Lytechinus pictus: one gene and its partner. The protein of the gene in region 1 purifies or fractionates together with the protein of each later gene. This does not show direct contact. Links are inferred from orthologs where the notes say so. Each region holds a gene or a part of one and is shown on either strand. Other genes may lie near its edges.

What was found.
Region 2: the proteins of iron-sulfur cluster co-chaperone protein HscB-like (region 1) and succinate dehydrogenase [ubiquinone] iron-sulfur subunit, mitochondrial-like purify together in Homo sapiens (co-immunoprecipitation; 3 studies listed by BioGRID and IntAct, with this or other methods). This does not show direct contact. The link is inferred for Lytechinus pictus from reciprocal best matches to the Homo sapiens genes HSCB and SDHB.

Annotation. Positions count from the first base shown.
Region 1 is NC_087246.1:19,726,486-19,737,667, forward strand, and holds the start of iron-sulfur cluster co-chaperone protein HscB-like, read left to right. Parts: upstream 1-6,301; 5' UTR 6,302-6,312; coding exon 6,313-6,701; intron 6,702-7,795; coding exon 7,796-7,892; intron 7,893-8,617; coding exon 8,618-8,707; intron 8,708-9,338; coding exon 9,339-9,480; intron 9,481-9,837; coding exon 9,838-9,885; intron 9,886-11,182. Other genes in the region: probable G-protein coupled receptor 63, read right to left, coding at 1-102.
Region 2 is NC_087258.1:20,283,288-20,294,392, reverse strand, and holds the start of succinate dehydrogenase [ubiquinone] iron-sulfur subunit, mitochondrial-like, read left to right. Parts: upstream 1-6,656; 5' UTR 6,657-6,932; coding exon 6,933-6,998; intron 6,999-11,105. UniProt on the Homo sapiens protein: Iron-sulfur protein (IP) subunit of the succinate dehydrogenase complex (mitochondrial respiratory chain complex II), responsible for transferring electrons from succinate to ubiquinone (coenzyme Q).

The DNA.
Region 1 (11,182 bases):
CGCTAATGTCCGCATTGAATGCGTCATTGTCGAATCTATAGTTGTCGAAGGAATTGTTGACCCTAATGATCCGGGCAATGATGTCGACGACATTCTCTTCATGAGTTGATATCCCTAGCTGGCATCGAAGTCCTCGGGGGACTTTCCTTTCTAAGTTTAGATATTACCTTGCTTTAATTTGTGTGTGAAAATTTATTCGCATCTGTGTCATATATTCTGCACTGTAAGAGCCTGCAATTAATGATAGAAAGAAGATTATGGAAGATATTTCTGACATACTAGTAATTATCAAGGCACTCGATTATTTGTTTTATATGCATGTTGGTTTACATTATTTTTATCCCTAATGATGATAATGTTAATGATAATAGAATTCACGATAATAGTGATGATAATGAGGGCAATGATGATGGTAATAATGACAACGATGATTAAAATAATAATGGCAACTAGATTAACAATAAAAAATATTGATGGTAAATATAACAATGATATTATTGGGAAAAAATGATGATAACGAATATACTAATAATAACAGTAACTAGTATTATGAATTATATAGTGTTAACATTTGTTAATAGCACCAATCCAATATGTTTTATCCTAGATAATACTTAATGACAAGTATTTTTATTACTTTGACACCAAGTACGACTGAACATATTATTTCATAATTATGAAGGAATTAAATAGACAATGAGCAAAAAATCCTTGAGTCAAAACGAAAATTATTTGCGACCATTGCATAAAATATAAAAAATGATGACAACACAAAATTCAACCCTCATGGTGAATAAAAAACATTGTGCATATACTTACAAGAAGAGGGAGAAAATTAAATACGAATGGATATGACTCTGAACAGAGAGCGGTCAAATTTTAAAACTTTGAATCATTATTGTCATCCTTAATGATTCTAAAACTCCTTTCGTGCAGGCAGGTTAAGAGCCGACATTGTAGAACATTCTTAGCCAAATTGCCTCAGTTTGATAATGACCCATCATTCGAGTTTTCTGTTGACCATTCCGCTGGTCGGTAATGTTATGCTGCAGAAAGATAGAAGCTCTTCGATGATTAGCTGCTCATACACGTACAGCCCAATCACACGGTGAATGGCGTTACACCGTTGCTGATTGGATAATTCTTGATAGTGCAGGAAATGTGGTTGGTGGTGTTTTGATTGCAATAGCCCGAAACACTACGACTAGACCCTGTGACCACTGATCTCTCTCCACTAACATCAGTGCCTGTGACGCATTGAAAACGAAGGTAAAGTAAAAGGACATTCCCCGTTTTTAAAGACAATCCAGATATAGATGATTGTAAACACTAATTTGGTTGGCGTAAACTTGTCGTAGACCTATTCTTCTTTCATTTACAGTAATTAAATCACTTTCTCTTTATTCTTACTTCTCTCTTTTATGACTTTATCTCAATTCATTATTTAGAAAACATCATTTTTGAAAAATTACAAAAATCACTTTTTTATTTCCATTCTGATCATATCAACCAGGTTTTTTTTTTTAATGATCTTTAAGGCGCTTAGATTTCTAAAAGTTTTGTCAAGGTAACGAAATCGCCTATATAGTCCCATACGCCCGGTACACACTACACGATCCAAAACGACTCTTTTTTTATTTACAAGTCGCATTTTCGCATTAATATGAAATTTCATGAAGAAAAACTATATTATATTTCGCAATTAGGTGCAATCAAAGGAATGATTAAATCGGAATTCTACTTGGTTGCAAACATTGTGGTCGGAGTAAAGTCTAGTTCAGCTTCAACTCGCATCCGATGATGACGTCAAGTTAATACGACTTGCAATTGAACTTTAATTCTACACAGAGGCTCGAAATATAGGCTTGATTTTCGATTCAATTATTCATCCCAATATTTTGGATTTGATCGTTTTAATAGGTGGAATTTTCATTTAAAATGCTTTTACAATTTATTTGAAATTAGGTCGCAATTAATGAATGGTACTATGTACTGGGCTCTACATTTGAGCACTGACATAGTGATTTGTGATTGGGGGCTACTGCTCAATATTTTCCTAAGATCATTTTCGGGTATACTCAAATATTATAATTTGCATTTACAGGTCCAATCCCCATATAAATCGTTGGATGCCTTAATACTTTTAAAGGAACCTTTTGAGGGAAATATATACAAGATGGCCTTCCTAAATACATAAGGTGATAATACACGCACTGGCGGATCCAGGGGGGGGCAATTAAGAATTAAAATGTAAAAATGCCATTAAAACAGAGGTGTGCCCCCTCTTTTGAAATTGAAGACCTTTTTTTGCTTGTAAATTTTTTTTTCGGGTGCTAAATATTCTCAAAATTTTCCTCCGAAAAATTTGCCCCCCCCCCTTGAAAAATCCTGGATCCGCCCCTGGGTTCACGTAATCGGTATTTGAACTTGATGAAGGTACTAATTATAAACAAATAGAAATATCTAACTTGAACATAATTATCATCGTTTTTGTATCTGAATCATTGTCACATCCTAATCGTGTTTACTCAACCGTACTAGGATCGGTCACGTAGTCTTACGTTGCAATTAATTAAGGGAACAAATTAATGACTCGTTTGTTTCTAAAATTAATCACGTCTTCTTTTTCTTTGGAAATATCAGTGCACTTGTAACTTTACTGACCAACCAAACCGGAAGGAATAGATTTAGTCACATCCGACAAGTTGAATATCGTCCGGGAGAAGACACGCAAACTGTATAGCCTATACCACTATACCAGGGACGGGACGGTACCCACTAGCGTACCTACGGGGGGGGGGGCAGAGGGGGCAGACTGCCCCCCTGACGAGTCAAAACCCATGCAAGGGACGTATCCCTGCCCCCCCCCCCCTGACGAGTCAAAACTGATCCCTGGCCCGCTCCTTTGAACTCGAAGACCCTTTTTTTTTTTTTTTTTTTTGCTTGTCAATTTTTTTGCTGGTACGAAATCCCTTTATTTGTGGTTGAAGACCTTTTTTTTTTTGCTTGTCAAATTTTTTGGCGGACGAATTTGCCCCCCCCCCTGTGGAAAATCCTAGGTACGCCACTGACGGTACCATATAGGGGCAGGCGTTCAACCCCCCCCCCCCCCCGATTAAAAAAAGGAATTAAAATAAATAACAGAAGAGAAAATATGTGACCAACTTATATGTTGAACATAATCATTTAACAGTCGGACAAAAAAAAAACCTTAACCAATAGGGATTAGACAAGTTTTTTGGGCTTAACGCTCAAACTTTTGGTCGAAACTGTGACCAACTAAAATTATTCATCTATGGTCAAAATTGCCCAATGAATGTGTTATTTATAACTAAAAGTTTGCCGAACAAAACAAGAGACACGAAACTTTTCTGCAGCATAAAGTAGACATAATTATATATAACAAAAAAATCCATAAATTTTAATCCGAAAAAGAAATAAAGTTACATTTATGTCAACCTTGTTCCCCATATCAAAATACACAGGCGTTGCCAATGCACATAACAAGTCAACAGTCTCAGTCACAAAGTTCTAATGTAAATTCATCAAGGATTGGTTGGAGACACATACACTAGTACATGAGTAGGCTACCCTATAATATTTATCAATTACACTTTATGCATGGTTTCATTAAAGTAAATAAATGAATGAATGAATGATTATAGATGAATGAAATGAGTATTGTTTTCAGTCAATAATGATTGAAGAAATGAATAACAAGTACAGTTAAGGGATAGACCTTCATGACCGTACACCAAGTTTTTTAGTGGGGGGGGGGGGCATGACGCATATTTAAAAAAAAACTCGAAAGCGAGGGAGTGAAGTCTTGTCATGGAGGCGCTTGTCATTTTTTTTTATAATACCTAAGGTTTGCGAGCACACTTTGACAAATTTTGTGAAAATTTTCAGTAAAAGTGTAACACTTAATTGTCCACCCCCATCACCGCCCCCTGCGCGCTGGGTTCGGCCATCATAAATATGTACGAAAGATTGTGTAAATGGTATAGTAGGCCTACTAAATGAATTAAGAGATCAATTAATGATCTATTATTGTTCTAAATCAATTCAATCAAAATCACTGATTAACAGACATGACATTGTTATCGATGAGGAAATAGTTGGAGAGCATTTAAAATAATGAACGACATGAAGTGCGTAGAATCAAAAAGATATTGTTGAAGTAAAATATTCATTCACATGAATCATCTGATTCTGATCACTTTAGAACATTATATTTACTTTAGAAAATTATTTTATCTCCAAAAATTCCATAGATTTCTTTAACAGATACTATTCAATACGAAGCAGTGGGCCCTATTCTACACAAGTTTCCCGAGATTTCTTAAACAAATACTATTATGAAGCAGTATACATCATGAATTGGTGCTATCATGGGAAGACGTCAATTTTTTATTTTTCAAACACGAAAATTTTCAGTTATAAATTTTACTTTACTTTCGAGTTCCTTTTGTAAGGATAGGCTTTGCATTAGATATTTTTTATTCATTTCAATTTTGATAGTTCATGGAGAATGAATGGTGTATTTTTTCATAGAAGCAAACCACGCGGGGTACTTGTGTCACACAAATCACTTTTTCATGAAAACAAAATACTAAAGGTCATTGACTTTTATATATATATAACATTGGTATATTCATGTATCATTTATCTAAAGACGAATTACCAGAAAATTTTTCACAAATGTTAAAAAAAATCAATCATATCACACATATCCTACGCGTCAGAGTATACCATCTTACTCTAACTCGAACAATTTTTACACAAAAACACAATAATATTCACAAGACCAAAATACATACCGTACTCTTCCGCCAGATATAACAGGATGCACATTTATTTTAAAAACAACTTATTATTTCTTGAACCTGCTTTTTCTTCATTGTCTTGATCTCCATGATTAGTAAGTCATATACCTCGTATTTTTTTCTGTTGTCTTTTGTTTTGTATTTGTTTTGTCTTTTTTGGGCTCTTTCTCTGGTTACAACTGTATTTCTCTTGCTGTATACCAGCTGAGCAATATGCACATTGTGATGTGACAGTAATAATTATATCAGATATGATTTTACTAATTTATGTACATACATGTAGGGCCTATATACGGGTGTACGTACTTGCCATGTCATGGAAAGATATATCTATTCACCGTATGTTGATAATTTGTAATGCCTTGACCACTTCAATTTCATATCTTTAAATATTTTTCTTTCATTTGTTCTGTATTTAATTGAAAATTCCAATCTGCATATTTAAGGTCATGAAATAATTATCCGTCTTCCACTATTAATTACAACTTATCTCACCGGGGCCTGCAATTTTTTACAAGCCTTGCTTTCATGTATGTCCGATCATATTTCTTTGACTTACGGGCCTAAGCTTCTATATACCTTAACTGGACTGATTGCATCATTATACTATGCTATTGTATGTCTTCTCAGTTGTTTATAATTTAATAGTTTTGCATTATTGTTGCTACTTTTTATGTGAATCAGATGTAAAGGAGAAATATGAAAATGAAATTAATAAACGAAATGAAAAGAATGAAAAGAAATAGTCAAATATTTAATTGCACGAGGAGTCTTATTATAAATGATCTCAGTGGTGGACAATAATGCGATCTTTTTTTAAAGAAAAAAAAGTATAATTTAATATGGAAATACGTGTGTAAATCTTTTTCACGTGTGGAATTAGCAGCTATACGCGTTATCGAGTGGAGATCGTGCAGCTCACATTTTAATGACACTTTTAGTGATCTCTCCAAATCATATTATTTTCATCCCGGAGCTAGACCTATCATGCCTATACTCCTTTAAGGGTATGATTTCAGATTTAGAGACAACATCGGCCCTGCACCTTTTGAGTGCCCCCGAGGGTTAAACAAGAGGTGATCTAGAACTATAATAGCATATAGACCTATATGGATGATCAGAAAAAGGATGGATGATGGTGATCAGAACCGGATCAGAATTCAAACCACTATATAGGGCTTTGAAACTTATCTCATATCCAAATAAAGAGGAATATGAATTATTTGCAAAGTAGGAATTTTTCATCCAAAGATGTTTGCCACTATTTTCTTTCTGGGCCGATATAGCATTATTAAGTAAAAAACAGGAGCTTCACCACTCTCAAAAAATAACTTGAGTGGCCAGGGGGCGAGGGGTCTCTCGTCCTCCCCCCCCCCCCCCCCCCCCCTTGCGACGTCGACCCTGGATATACGGTACCGGATCGCGATTCAGAGCTAGCTAGCTATATATATAGCTCTGTTGTATGCGCACATATGTATGGCTATGCATGGTCAGTAACATGGCAGCTTCATGGATAAACTCTTGTCGTCTGGCTCTGTCACGTGCAAATAGTATTATGAGATTAAAGAGAGGAATATCTTCAAGAAACTTCATCTCCAGCTCACCATGCACATACTCTAGGAGACAAAACATGAAATCAGTCTTGTCGAATTGGTCATGCACTAAAAAATCGTATGATGGACAACGAAGCAGGATGATCATCGTCACAGAGCGTTTGTATTGCTCTTCTGCGAAACGCTGTTGGAACTGCAACGACGAACTCTCCCGGTCTGAGACGTCCAGTGGAGGACCTCGCGTCGCTGCTCTGTTCTGTGCCTCGTGCAGTATGATCCAGCCGCTGGAGGACGGATTGAACCACTTTCAGATCATGGGAATGTAATGCTTCTTTTGCTTCAGAAAACATTTTAATAAGATGTTCAGTTTAAATAAGAGAATGATCAGGTGCTAAATTGATGGGAAGAGATTGATATTCAGATATCGGGCATATTATCATGATTATTTGAGATGAAGAAGGCTTGAACTGGGATCGAAATATTAATGCCACAAATGGCACAGGAGATGCCCCGGAGGGGGGGGGGGGGGTGCTCGACCAAAAAATTGGTAGGTATGTGCCACAGCGAGACAAAAAACGGGCTTTGGAGCCTCGCATGCGATGTTTTGAAATCGGCAGCAAATAATTATACGTGTGAGGACCTTCAATTCATGTTGGCTCTAAATCACGAATTTTGAGACTGATAGAAGCATGGCAAAGCCAAAGAAGTGAAACTTTGTGTATAGTAAGAATATTAGTTTTAATTGTTTTTAAAGATCGTGATGTTGCATGAATTTTATATTTCCCCCCATAAAATCCCACCTTTGTCACTCGGAATATCAGATAGAGTTCACGGTATCGATGTTCGGGCAGGTGGAGTGTAGTGTAGCGGTAGTCAGGTAGTGAAGTGGAGTGGTGCCTGCACGAACATCGCCCTATACGGGCATAAGTGCATGCAGCTAACCCGCTGGCATGGGATATGGGCGCCAGGTGCGCTTGCGCAGAGGCGATGGTCGGACAGCTCTGTGCGGCTGCTTTTCACCAAAATTGCAACTCATTGTCGCAGATCAATGTGGCCGAACAGCATAACGAAAAATATGCAAAGCTTTGGAACGAATTTCTTCTTTTTTCTCGATAAGAAGAAAGTGATATGCTTTGGAGCGGCTTTCTTTGTTCCTTTCCTCAATGTAAAAATGGGGGTCCTCTCTGTGGCACGTACCCGCCACGCATTATATACTGAGTGAGTGCCTTTCTTTTTTTGCTTCCCCGTTAGTCTGGATTTAGAGAGCTTCACACTTTATCCCAAAGAGGAAAGTCTACAGGAAGAAGAATCCTTTAAGTTTTCTTCTCGTTATATGTAAAATTGTTTTTTTTTTTTAAGTTTGAAATTTTGAATGAATGTTAATTGTTGCACTGAATTCATTTGGTACTTGTTTAGGGAGGAGAAGTTTGATGTTGAAGTTCAAGACCTGACCAACTGCTTTAGAAACCTTCAGAGGTTGCTTCACCCAGACAAATTCAGCAATAAATCAGAGGTAAAAAAGAAAAGCCATTCAGTGTTCTCTATAAAACCATTGTATTTGGGTATTGTTTTTGTGGTAATTTTTATATGGGGGGGGGGGGGGGCTCCAAGAGCAAAAGTGAATTTATGTAGGCCTATACAATAATATAGCAATGCACCTTGCTCACTGAAAAAATGAAAGTCACTTGAAGTTAAGTGCTCTGATGTTAAATTCATGTAAAGGTGGTGATTTCAAATACATTCAAATGGGATTGTGAGATGCATTATTTTGGTTGTCAGGGCAAAGTCGGTTGAGTTCAGGATTATATGTCATCATCAGACTTGGGCAAAATGGTCTCTTTGCCATGGAATATCCCATTGCATCTGGATACTGATTGGGTATTGTTTCAATGGAAGTTGACAGCGGATGGTAAAGATGCCATGACAGTAGTAACTTAAATTTGACAGGACCCAGCACTTTGTAGAAAGTGCATGCACACTGAATACATTCCAGCAATCTGTGCCCAAAATTATTTCAAATCATGCATAGATAGAGTGCATAATAACTGTTCAGGTAATATTATTTCTTACTACACATAATTAATGATTTGTGTAGAATCTCCTTCAAATACACAAACAATTTCATGTTCACTTTTCCAAGAACTTACCGTGTTGAGACTCCTTAAAACTGTAATTCAATTTGCAGAGACTTTGGAGAAGCAGGGTCAAGAACTTATCCTTTCATTTATTCTCACACAGACAGAACAGAACTACTCCGCTGCCCAGTCATCGGCTGTGAATCGAGCTTACAAGGTGCTTCTCAAACCACTTTCTAGAGGCCTCTACTTGGTAATTAACTAAATTAAGTGTTTTCTTTTTCTATGATACAAAGGGTGTTAATTGCAATATCATGAAGTTGTGTTTGTTTTACTGATAGAAAATGAACATGTTGGTCAAACGTTCATGATAAAGTCTTTGGGTGGTATTTATAAGCTAATCCGGGTTAAGTCCATGATAAGCCTAGGTCCGCTCTTCTTTGAAATGCTAGGTTTCATATTTATTCAATATTTCTTAAGATTAATAGCCTTGTAAACATTTACTGGAGTTCATTTAATATTTATAATTTCCTTGTTTAATTGCATAATCATTTTAACGCACAAGAGTGAAAAGGTTTTGAACAGGTTTGGCTCTCCACTCTTTCAGCAACACAGAGAGCAACATGCTTGTTCTATACCTGCTCATTGATATGTCAGTCATGCTCAAATTCAGAGAACAAGTTGGCTTCAATTCTTTTTAATCACTTGCCCCATGTCTTTGGAATAAGTTCCAATTTGATGCAACATTACCTTGATCTATTGAAAATGTTTTGAAACAGTCATATATGATAAATCTTAAGTCACTTAACATTGTAAGCAGCAGTTTGTGTCCTTTGGAAAAGGTGCTAGATAAATCCAGTTTATTATGTTTCTTTGATACACAGCTTGAGCTCAGAGGGTTTTCAATAGAAGAAGGAGAGAGTAATATAGAACCGTTATTCCTCATGGAGGTGATGGAAATCAATGAAGAGCTAGCCGATACTGATGATCTTGAAACTGTCAAACGAATAGGAAAAGAAAATACAGGTAAGTTTAATCATAAGGAGTGGGACTCTGTAGAAAAGAGCACTTTGTAAATATTTGGTTGATTTCGTTCTGCTTGAAATGAGTGTGTATAATGGTTATTTAGTGCATGTTAAAGTGTTTTAAAAAGGTGAAATTTAGACTGCACTAAAATGAGCAATGCACAAAGGCACAGCAAAGTTTGCTTGTCAATGTATTAATGTGAGAATTGTTTTATTTTAGCACCAACTTTTATTAGCAATCGTCCATCTGATTGGAGGAATTGGTGCCAACATACCCAGACAAGTTGTATAAAAGTATGATTTCCAATTCAGGAATCACTTTTCACGTACATACTTATATTTGCCTCTTCTTTTTCAGTGAGTTTGAACGACCATCTGGATAAACTCAGAGTGGCTTTTGATGAAGGTGAGATTAATAAATGTAATGCATATGAAAAGATTTCGTTATATTGATATTGTTTCATTTGATCATGATTTCATTAATTCATTCTTTTCATGGAATATTCTATATCACCCATAAGTGGACTTTAGACAAGCAGAAATGGGTATACTATGCTTCCATAATACATCCGACGATGATGGTGTCAGCATCTTAACCGAAGTAAAAAAATTTGAAATTTCATCATAATTTAAAAATTTTAAGGGCCTATTTCATGGAACTTGGACATATAATCAGGTATCACTGATCATTTGGCAGGAGTTTCAGGTCACATGATTAAGGTAAATATCAGGGCTACCCAAGGTTAAGAATGAATACTTATTTTCAAGATTATTATGAATATATGAACTTAAATATAATGGTTATAAACAAGCTTTTTATTAACCGGGCGCCAGGCGCAATTTTGCTCCCGGTTCAAAGGGTTTTGCGCCTGGCTCCTTCGAAAACTAGTATGCCCGGGCGCCAGAAAAAAATCACAAATGGGAGCCGTTACACTACGGCGAAAATGCCCAGTTGACCCCGCCGTATACATGCACTGTGCTGCACACCCCAGCTACAAAGTTTGGTTCTGTAACTTTGCCCAAAGGACTGTAAAATTTCACATTTTACACCAATGAAATCTCTTATTATGCCCATGTTTCCTAAAAAATGGTGCAACTCTTTCATTTGTAAGTAATCAAAAAAGAAATTATTACTCCTTTCTTGGCCCCAAACGATCGGGTTTCGGGTGACATCGTCCGCATCAACACACACTAAAACACATGTGGAGCTGATTAAGTTGGTTTCTTACGAAACTCGATCTAGGTATCAGTTTGAGCCAAAATGAAACATGTTTTTTTTTTCTTTTCTTTCTTTCCTTCCATCTTTCTTTCAATCAATGCTTCCATCAATCCTTTCTTTCTTTTTTTCTTTCTTTCTTCATCCTTTCATTAGGTCATTAATCTTCCTTTCCTCGGTTGGATCGCTCTAATTATTTCTTTCCTAATTTCTTCCATCCTTTCACTTTTACTCTTTCCATTTTCCTTTCCCTCTTTTCATCTTCTTTTCCCATTCGTTCAATTTTCTTCCTTGTCTGTTTCTCCTTCCTTTCATCCATACTTTCCCATCCCGTAATTCTTCTTTCTATTATTTCTTTTCCCCCCTTTCCTCCTTCCATCCTTCCTTTATTTTTCCCCTTTTCTCTCCTTTCTTTTATTTTTTTGTTTCTTTTTCTTTCTTTCATTTTCTTGCTTTACTTGGATTTCCTTCCCTCCTTTCTTTCCTT
Region 2 (11,105 bases), on another chromosome or scaffold:
AATGATAATGATAACAATGTTTATTTATCCAGGGTAGCCACTTAATAATTCAACTCTTATGGAACTGTTCTCCCAGCGAGCCTTGCATAACATAGAGTTATTACATACAGTGTATTACACGCTACTCCATTCTGACACGTCGAACGTCTGGCAAGGGGTCGTAGGGGGTGAGGGGTGAGAGAGAGATGGAAGGGGGGGGGGGGTTTAAGCATGAATCACAGTTCCCGAGGAAGGAACAAGAGGAAAAGGGTTAGGGCTGTGAATCACACTTTGATGAAATCTCCTGAGTTTAAAGGGGGTATTACTAAATGTCAAGTAACTTCACTGTTGCATTGACTTTCATTGCTAATACAAATTCATATAATTTTCACATGTAATGAAACGTCAAATATTCTCATATTCACGATGTTAATTATATCGCAAATAATCCAGCTTATAGAAAGAAATGTCATGCACATCGCAATGCAGCATCAATATCTTTGATAATGTCAAAACGTGGAGAGGCATTTATAAGGTTATGTCATCATGTGATGTAAGGAAGGCAAAACTTCTATTCTCATTCTCATACATATTACCATTATCTGTATGACTATAACATTACAACAATAATATATAGTATATAGAAATATTTATTTTTGTTTACAATTGACACATTCATTCACTATTCGAGATTAATCTGACTTTCATTTAACAAATCGAAAATTAATTATTACTCACAAAACAATATGACATTACGGTCCAGATGTATGGAAATTTACCCTAAAAATATTAAACAAGCTTCCATCCCTTTTATCCCTCAAAACTTCGTTTAAGAGAGGTACCTTTCATTATTATAAAATTATCACCTACACCCGCACCAGCATTCTCACACTTCATATTGCCCCCTCTCTTTCTTTGTTTATATTTAAATTCAATTTGTTTTATTTCATTTTCAACATAACAAAGTAAAGTGGTCGTATATTATTACAGTGATATTTGCAAATGACACTTATTATACAAGCAATATAAATTGTGGTGAATACGACATATATATATATATTTTTAAGTATTATAAGTATTTTTTTTTAAAGTATTATTTTCAAGTATTATAAGCAAAGTTATCAGAAACATTATACAAATCTGAGAAAATGGAGGGATCCACAAAAAAAGCAAAAATGCTTTTAGTGTGTGGCCCCTCTGAATAGGAGTGACATCGCGTTTAAATTAGTGACCCTTGTATTTTTGCTCTCGTTTTTTTTTTTTTTTGGGGGGGGAGGGTTCATGTAACCCATTTCGTCTGGCTTCTATTCATTTTAAACCTTTGGCTTCCGATAGCTGGCCATTGCATTGAAATTAGTTAATTGTGCTTGTTTATAAAACGAATTATGTCTCCTCTACTATAATGCAAATTTCAATATCAATCAGATATGACTATTTACGTCTGGGACCGTTCTTTAACATCACTATCCGGAAGACGTGACCAGGGCTCGAACCTCGAACCTCTTCAGCATCAGTTCTTAAGGCTTCCCACTGTAGCTTACAGGCGTATAGGCCTACGCCACAACGCCAATTTGTTTTCAAACAATCGGGGTTAAATTGATAGAGGGGGCTATTCTGATAGGTTGCATGGTTCAGGACCCTTAATGCCTAATAGGTCCTGCAGGAAACTATTGCATGGCCCTACCGGGGGGGGGGGGGGGATACGACAAACCCCCCCCCCCCCCACACACACACACACACTCGCACACTAATTTGGATATCGTCGGTAAATCAGCGCCGCTGTCGGGAAAAATGAAAAAAAAGGCGAAAAGAAAAAAAGAAGGGAGAAAGAGAAAAGAAAAAAGGAAAGAAAAGAAAGAGAAAAAGAAATAAAGGAAGGACGGAAGAAAGAAAGTAAGAAAGAAAGAAAGGGACAAAGAGGAAAACAAAAGGAAGGAGAAAAACAGAGAGAGAGAGAGAGAGAGAGGAGAGAATGGGGTAGACAAAGTTTTGATTAGGTTAACTTGTGTGTCGGTTGCTTAAAGATGCGGGGTCTGAGATGTTGCACTAACGCTTGTCGGGGAAAATGACAAACTGTCGGGTCACGCAGGCCTGTTCCAACAGCAGACTGCTCCATATTTGTTCTTGCTTGGTCTTTCAGTTCCATTATCTTTGTCGGTAAAATAATGTCAAATTGACATATTATCGTGGGTAGCCTCCTGTATAGGCTATCGACAATGATTAGAAAAAGTCTTAATCTAAAAAAAAATCAGCTCGCGCTTCGCGCTCGAATGATTGATATATTTAGTGATAATTTTGCCGAAAATTTTGCTTAAACTTCCCTCAGATATCTAAAATTTCCGCTCGCTCTCCGCGCTCGCATTAAGATACACATATTGTTAAATTGCATATGCCACATCTGAGTTTGTTCTTTATATAAAAAAAAAACGTGTGAAAATGTTGAGTTTTCAAATCAAAACATCAAAAGTTGCTTAGTTCTATGCCTACATTCTTCATGGTTACATTGATTCGAAAGTTCTGTTTTTAGTTCTAAATCTGAAGAAAACATTAGCTCGCGCTTCGTGCTTGTTTACTGTGTTCTTTAATAAAAATATGTTTAACCAGTCTAGTTTTCAGGTCCAAAATCTATAAAAAAAAAAATAATAAAAAAAAATCGGCTCGCGCTTTGCGCTCGCTTTATTTGATTAGTGAGAAATGTATTACATTAATGAGTCACTGCAAATAGTTGATTAACATGTCATTTCCAGTAAGGTTAATGAAAAGTATCAGCTCGCATTAATTGTTATATACGCATATTGTTTATGTAAAAACTGCTTATGTCCAGTTTTCCGGTCGAAAAAAAAATCGGCTCGCGCTTCGCGCCCGCATCATTTGTTTGGTTAATATCCACCCTCTGCATGGTTACAATCGAGTTTTCAGGTCGGAATATAATTTTTTTGCAGCTCGCGCTTTCCACTCGCTCTATATTTGATTAGTGAGAAATGTATTCTATTAATGATTCCCTTTTTGTCAGGGCAGTTAATTAAAAGTTTCAGCTCTCCATAGCTTGAATTGTTTAGTTACATTATGCGTATTGTTACAAAAAGTGCTTACTAAATGTCGGAAATAAAAAATTTCAGCTCGCGCTTCGCAATCGCATCAATTATTGTTTGGTTATTATATCCATCATTTTTATGGTTACAATCGAGTTTTCAGGTCGAAATACAAAATGATCTAGCTAGCGCTTCAACCGCGTAGCCATGCAGTATTTAATTTTGGAGGGGGCGGTAAGTGCACGCGAAGCGTGCCACCGTGCCAACACTTACAGAGCGCGCGAAGAGCGCTCCCTAGGGTGCAGGGAGGGGGAGTTTCCCGCGCGGAGCGCGAAGTTTTTGATATCTCATCAAATTCAAATCAAAAGAAGGCGTCTCTAGTATACCCTTATCAACTCGAATATTGACTTGCTTTGATTAAAAAAAATTGTTTTCGAAAGAAATTATGAGCTCTCCAAAAAATGGGAAAAAATTGGAGAATTTGAAATAATTTCTCTTTCCGCGCAAAGCGCGGAAGCTTAAAACGTTTTAAAAGAGAGAGAGAAGAAATGATACAATTATGCCTATCTTGGTCACATCAGATTTGAGTGTAAAAAGTATATCCACATTAAATTTCGTTAACTCAAGTCGCAAAACAGAGTAGAAAATTGGTATATACATAAAAAATAGACCCTATTCCTTCCCGCGAATGGCGTTGAATCTCTGATTTTTGGAAATTTATCTGAAACTTTAACCTGTTCTAAGTTTGATATATCTTAGAATATATATAACTCAATTAAGAAGAAAAACGAGCTCAAAATGTGAAAGGGATGATGCAAGCTAGAAGAGGAACTTTTCCCTTGCTCGCGAAGCACGGCTGAAACCTCTGTGATTTATTTTGGAAGAAAAATTGTTTCGCTCATATTAAGGGCCTCTTTTTTTTTTATCAAGAAGCTTCAGTGATATTCAAAATTTCAAATCAATGACGCAAAATAAGACAGGAGATGGATGTGCAGCGATATAGAATAAAGTTTGATATCGTAAACACTATTGCAACTAGCATGGCACGAATTTATTTCCTCTCCCTTTGAGCAGACACTTTGCCAAAAATTACTTGCTGAAAAGCGGAAGAAAAAGCACTTGGGGACTCGGGAATGAAAGTAATGTTTACCCGCTCCGAACAGAAGAGCCAACATTTTGTATCAATGCAATATTAAAAAAAAACACTTTTCATACTCTTTACACCCATGTATACTTAATAATTTCTGGCAAGAACATACAATTCCCACGGCCGGGAAGGGGAAACATAGAGTAGAAAAAAGATGTGGGAAACAAAAGAGAATGGCAATTTTGATATTTTTCTCGCGCGAAGCGCGGAAGCAAATTTATAGCATGAAGAGAGAAGATTACGTCTCGTTTATGTTGTTATTCTTTTGACCAAAAAGAAGGAAAAAACAACAAGAGCTATACCTTTGTTCCCTTTTCTCCTTTCGCTTTTTCTTTTTCTCCTTTTCCTCTTATTTTTTTCTTTCTGGGAGCGTTTTGAGGGGGGCGACCGCCCCCACCGCCCCCTGGCTACGCGCCTGTAGCGCTTCGCGCTCGAATGTTTGGATTGAGAACAGTCTTTAACAGGATCTTTATGCTGCATGGCCAGTATTAAAAATTTCAGCTCGCGGCGCTTTGCGCTCCCATGGATCGTTTTCTAAATACCCCCCGACCATGATGATTTCAAAAGCTGCCCACAGTGTTCAATTTTCAGGGCTAAATAGGCCTATATATAAAATATCCAAAAATTTGAGCTCGCGCTTCGCGCTCGCATGGTAATTTAGATTCAGGCCACATGAAATACCTTATGTAATTTATGTTGCTTCTAAAAATGAAAATTTAGTTAGGACTAACCCCTTAAAAAAAAAAGAAAGAAAGAAAATAAGATTTTGGCCGCCGCGACGGGAAAAAGTGGATGAAATCGCCCCCCGCCCATTGAAGAAAGCTGCAACTGATCCTGGGTATGACGAAAGACTGGCTGAGGAGAATGAAGAACACCTCCAAGATTCATGGTCGCCGGACGTCGGTAATCGCTACCGATATATTTTTTTGTAATCAGGGCCTCCACATCCCCCCACTGGAAAAAGGCTTATAAAGACGCCCCTGCACGCACCCCCACTGGAAATCACGTTGACGAGCAACAGAATAAATGAATGAAGTCCTATTGGTCCCAAATGACGGATATATGGAAGCAATAACCTTTTCTTCTTTTTTTTTCCTTGTCAATTTGACAAGAAAAAAAAAGAAGAAAAAAAATAACAAGACAGTAAAAAATAAAAATAAAAATAAAAAAATAATTCACTGCCAAATCTTTATAATTTGGCAGTGAATTTTTTTTTACTTTTATTTTTATTTTTTACTGTCTTGTTATTTTTTTTCTGACGAAAACCTCCAGCGCCCCTATTAAAGAGGGAACCAACTGAACACTTTATTTCTTATATATAGCTTCTATCGATAGGAGAAGCGCTGTATCGCTTTATATCGACCCTGGATCCACCTCTGATACGTTGACTCTGTACCTCTGACATGTCGGACGTTTTATCCGACAAGTCCCATTTTATCCGACAGTTACCATTACCTTAGGCCTCCTTTTTTGTAAATGGCGAGCCCGAAATATTTGGTACGTGGCCAGGTATAGGCAGCTAGGCCATTTTTAACGTACGTTTGATTTTAAAACGTTCAATTGAAATCAACGTTAAGCTTACTCAATTCAACCTACTTCTTCTTTTTGAACTCTATGAAACTCGCGGTTCCAGGATTGCTCTTGAAGGGATGGTGCGGGCTGAAAATATTTATATCTAAATAAATAGAGTAAAATTCACAAAGCAAAATGCTGAAAATTTCATCAAAATCGGATAACAAATAACGAAGTTAATGAATTTTAAATTTTTTCAATATTTTGTGAAACCAGTTGTAAGCACATCGTCAGGTGGGCTGATGATGTCACATCCACACTTTCCTTTTTCTTATATTATTACATGAAATCATAATTGTTTAATTTTTTCATACATGTGTAAATAATATGTGTCTCCATATAAGTTGCGTCAATAGATAACTAATGCACTTAATCAGTTGTCTTGCAATCCAATTGGTTTAGTTCTTGGTAGAATTTTTTTGAAAGAAACCTTACTGAATAAAATACAAAAGAACAAGTGGGGATATGACATCATCAGCCCACAAAATGAATATTCATGAAGACATGCCTAGAACTGTTTCACCGGAATGATGCAAATCTTTAAAATTCAATAACTTCGTTATTTTGTTATCAGATTTTGATCAAATAATTTTCAGCATTTTGCTCTGTGAATTTTACTCTATTCATTTAAGATATAAATATTTTCAGCCCGGACCATCCCTTTAAAAGTATCATATGGTAGTTCCCCCCCCCTCATCCGGGGTGTTCATGTTCACTCATGTAAGAGCATATAGTTTTTCCCCCGAAAACTTGACAAGCCCAAATGATAACAGCTTTTCTCTCCCCAGGCAATCCACTTTAAGCCAGCAAAAAAAGTTGTTTCTCACAAATGAAAAGTTCCTCCTTTTTAGTTGGGGCAAATTTTACGGGGTGCGCACAGAACTCCCCCCCCCCCCCCCCCGTCTCCACCAGGCCCAGGATGATTCGTTGTTATTAGTCTATGTTCAGTGCATGGTTCTACATAACATGGAAAAGGCAGCAGAGCAATAGAATCCCAGTGCAGTCAAGAAATTAACCTTTTTCCAGACAATTTCATGGTAGTTATAATGATACACTGTACTTCACGTACCGCATTATCTTGTGAACTAGTACAAAACGCCTCGTTTTACGTCTATTTTCTTACCCTCTTTTGTAACGTAAATCGGCCGGTGATATAACGCTCAGAAAATACACCAACGATTACCTGTGAAATCGAATGCGAAATGGCGACTGTACTTCGAAATTCATTATCTCTGCTTCAGAGACAAAATATATCACAATCATGTCAGGTAAGCTTTGTTATATTTTATCTCATTTAATTTGATACTGAAATGCCTTATTATCAATCCTGTTATGAGTTGGAATATCGCTTTTTATTTTTGTTAGAACTGTCTTGGTCTTGGATATGGATACCGGCAATACCGGTACCGTAGGCCTACTGTTATGTCACAAGCGATTCCGATGCACACAATGCGAATGGGGGTATCACGATTCTGTGATACAGTAATATGGATTGCGCAGCGCAGGAGTTAACTCACTGATTGAATCTAAAGCAATTTATTGTGTTAGCATTGCCATTGCCATTGGCATTAGTGAGAGTGGTAAAATTAACCAAAGTAGACATGGTAGACAGTCGCAGTAGGCTAACATTGTAACCTCTGTTAGATTCATACTTTCCAAAGAAGACATCAAGGCTCCATGTACAAGACAAACCGTGGATGACACCAGCCATCAAATCCTTGATTTCAGAGCGGCAAACCGCTTTTGCTCAAAACGATATTCCAAGATGGCATCAGCTGAGGAACAAGGTGAAACGACAGATTGTACTTTCCAAAGCTGATTACTACGTCAACCGGGTTCAGAAGATGAAGAAGTCAAATCCATCGAAATGGTATAGACACATCAAGATAATGACAAGTGGTCAGGTGAAGTCACCAAAGATTGATATCCCTAGTACTGATCCCTGTGACCTGAGGAGCTGTGCAGAAGAGATCAATAGGTTCTTCACTGACATAGCAAAGGACATCCCAAAGTTGAACACATCTACTTTGCCATCTTATCTCCCTGCAAGCAAACTCCTTCCCTTTGTACAACCGTATCAGGTCTACAGAGAGCTGAAGAACATCAAACAGAGTAAGGCTCCCGGTCCAGATGGGATCCCAGCTAGAGTGATAAACCTCTTCGCCTACGAGTTATGCATACCACTTTGCGATATCTTGAATTCTTCTTTTCAGCAAGCAGTGGTGCCTGAGTGCTGGAAACGGGCTTGCGTTGTTCCAGTGCCCAAAGTCCCGCAGCCCACTATTGAAAACCTACGACCTGTATCACTGACAGATCATTTTTCAAAAGTAGCTGAGAAGTTTGTTGCTAATTGGGCTCTAAAAGACATGGAAGGGTCCATCGACAAAGCTCAGTTTGGAAATAGAAAGGGTATGTCAACATCGCACTATCTGATTGATCTCCTCAATGTAATACATGCTAATGTTGACAAACCGAAATCAATATGTACCCTATTGGCCACTGATTTCTCCAAGGCCTTCGATCGGATTGACCACAACCTGGCTCTATCAAAGCTCTTAGACATGAATGTTCAACCAGCATTGGTTGCATGGATATGCAACTTCTTGAAAGACCGGCAACAGTGTGTTAAGTACAGATCAGTAGTCTCAGGATGGAAGAACATACAAGCTGGTGCCCCGCAAGGAACTCGTTTAGGCCCGCTTATTTTCCTCTGCTTGATCAATGATGCATGCCAACAGAGTCCTAATCTACATTGGAAATACGTAGATGATCTCTCGATACTAGAAAACAGGAAAACGAGCGACCCTGCCACCATCCAGAAGAGTGCGGATGAGCTTCAGCAGTGGTCTAAAGATAACAACATGAAACTCAACCCGAGTAAATGTGCTGTCATGCACATAAGTTTCATGAGAACAAGTCCACCAAATCCCACTGTTGAACTCGAAGGGCAGGAACTATCTGAAGTCCAGTTCATGAAACTACTTGGAGTTTGCATTCAGAAAGATTTGAAATGGACATATCATGTCAATGAGATCACCAAGCGCGCAAGCATGAGGCTTCATATGTTGCGCATCCTCAAGGGATTCAAACTACCCCTTGATGATTTGAAGGTAATTTATTCCTCCTATGTTCGTCCAGCATTAGAGTACTGTGCACCAGTTTGGCACTCTGGACTTGACGCATCACAGAGAAAACAAATTGAGAGGATACAAAAACGCGCATTCCGCCTCATGCTTGGGCCTGCTTACCAAGATTATGACCATGCACTAGAAGTGCTCAACCTATCTACTCTTGATAAGCGGAGAGAAGGACTATGTATGAGACTAGCAAAGGGCGTGAGTCTTCATTCCTCCCCCTTTCACGACTGGCTACCTCCAACTCGTGAGGCGGTCCACAAACGTTCACTACGTCACAGCAATATGTACACTGAAATACGCTGTAGAACAGAACGCCGTCGCAAAAGCGCTGTCCCATACATGGTCCGACTACTCAACAATCAATCGAATATGTAATTAATTTAAAAAACTATGATTAATTAAAACATGCCTTTTCAGTTAATACATGATACGACATCTCAACAAGCAATCAATGTGTTAACAATATCCAAATTATGCAAATAGATTTTAAACAAAACGATATTAATATGCTATCGTCTAATATGATAATATTATTATTGTTATTATTATGTTTTCGTTTACTTTAAATTCTGGTTACGATTCTTTGTAGCAAAATGATAACAATAATAAAGCTTACATATTTGTGCTCAATATTACTTTTACCACATCTAGCATTGCTTGTTTTCAATGGGCATACTTGTTTTTTCCCCATCTTGGTATAATCGTTTAATATGCTAATTCCATGTTTATACATGTACAACCAGAAATTGTTTAATCAATCATTAGATTTATGATATCTCTTATTTCCTTGTAAGCCAGGTGAAATGCACCTATCTCATTGACAAAATCCCTTTAAGCAGTTTTACCAACCTTATCGTCATTTTCCCCCTTATTCCGGCACTAGTTATATTTCATCTTCAATTCTTTAAAGAAATGCCATTTGTTTATAATTTCTGTTACTTATTTCATTCATGCAAGCTTATGAATTACTGACTTTATCCCCACAGAATCATACTGTTGTTACAACTATCCAAGATTACTTTTATCCCATGTATAAAATTATTCTACTCTTCTCCTTTCTTAAATTTCAACATATAACATTTATTTTATTACTTTTACATGTCATTTTGTTATAGTCACTGTTATTGTATATATTTTGTATTTTACCTTGTACAGAATTTCGCAATTCAGCCTTCGGCTGCGATGAAGTTTTCTTAATAAACCATTTCAATTACAATTACAATTACAACATTAATTTAGACGAGTCTTAAATTTCTTGGCTTGCACTGCAGCCATCATGCAATATGCTGTTTATGCAGACATTGGAAGAAATTTTTTAAACAGTCGTTCGTTGGCCGTCTTTCCAGACTAACTTTCATGACTTTAGAAAAGTGGAAGAAGATGATTTGACATGGTTGAGATGATGAAGGAACGTGTGTAACATCTAACATATTAAGAAAGAAGGAATTTCGGAATCTTTGAGAACTAGACTAGAGTCTAGAAAAAAGAAAGGAAGGCAGCTGGCAGCAGGGGATATAATGTTAGGCCAAAAGCTTCGGTCTCTGTTATGTTGGTTGTTCCGCTGAACTACGTTGGCTCCACTCACCAAATACAGAGACAGAAGTTCTAGCGCGATCTGTACAGGGGACTCGATGGCCATATGTTTATGTACTTAAGTTCGGATAAAATGGGGGAGTGAAGTTGCGCGACAGCCGAAGTAAGTCACTGTTTTCCCCTTTTAAGTTTATTTTTCCTCGTTTTGGTGCATTTCAGGCCAAAACAGTATAATAATCTCTATTTTGGTTCAATTCTTTTTCAATATTTTTATGAAATAAAGACAAAAATCGATGTGCCCCATCCGGAGGATTTTGCATTGTAAGTCCCCTAATGGTGGCTGCACGATAGCGAGCCGTCTGTGTACGAGGAGAAATAAAAAAATAAAAAAATGCTGAAAAACTCCTCGAAACAGACGGCTGCCAGCTGTCTACAGGGGATGGTGACTTCAGTCATGTCAGTCAATAATTGGCAGTGACATTTTTTCAGGACAAAAATTGAAAGGATTGGGGAAAGGGGTGGGGCAGAAAATACATTCTATCACATGGCATCTTGTTCATTTATTGTAATGATATAGAGCTCTACATAGTCTACATGTAGGTCTTTGAGGTAAATTTACAAATTAAATTTGAAATATACTCTTGGGGAAAATATGTTTTAAAAGCATTTTAACATTTAGTTTATGAAGAAAAAAAAGAAAGGAGG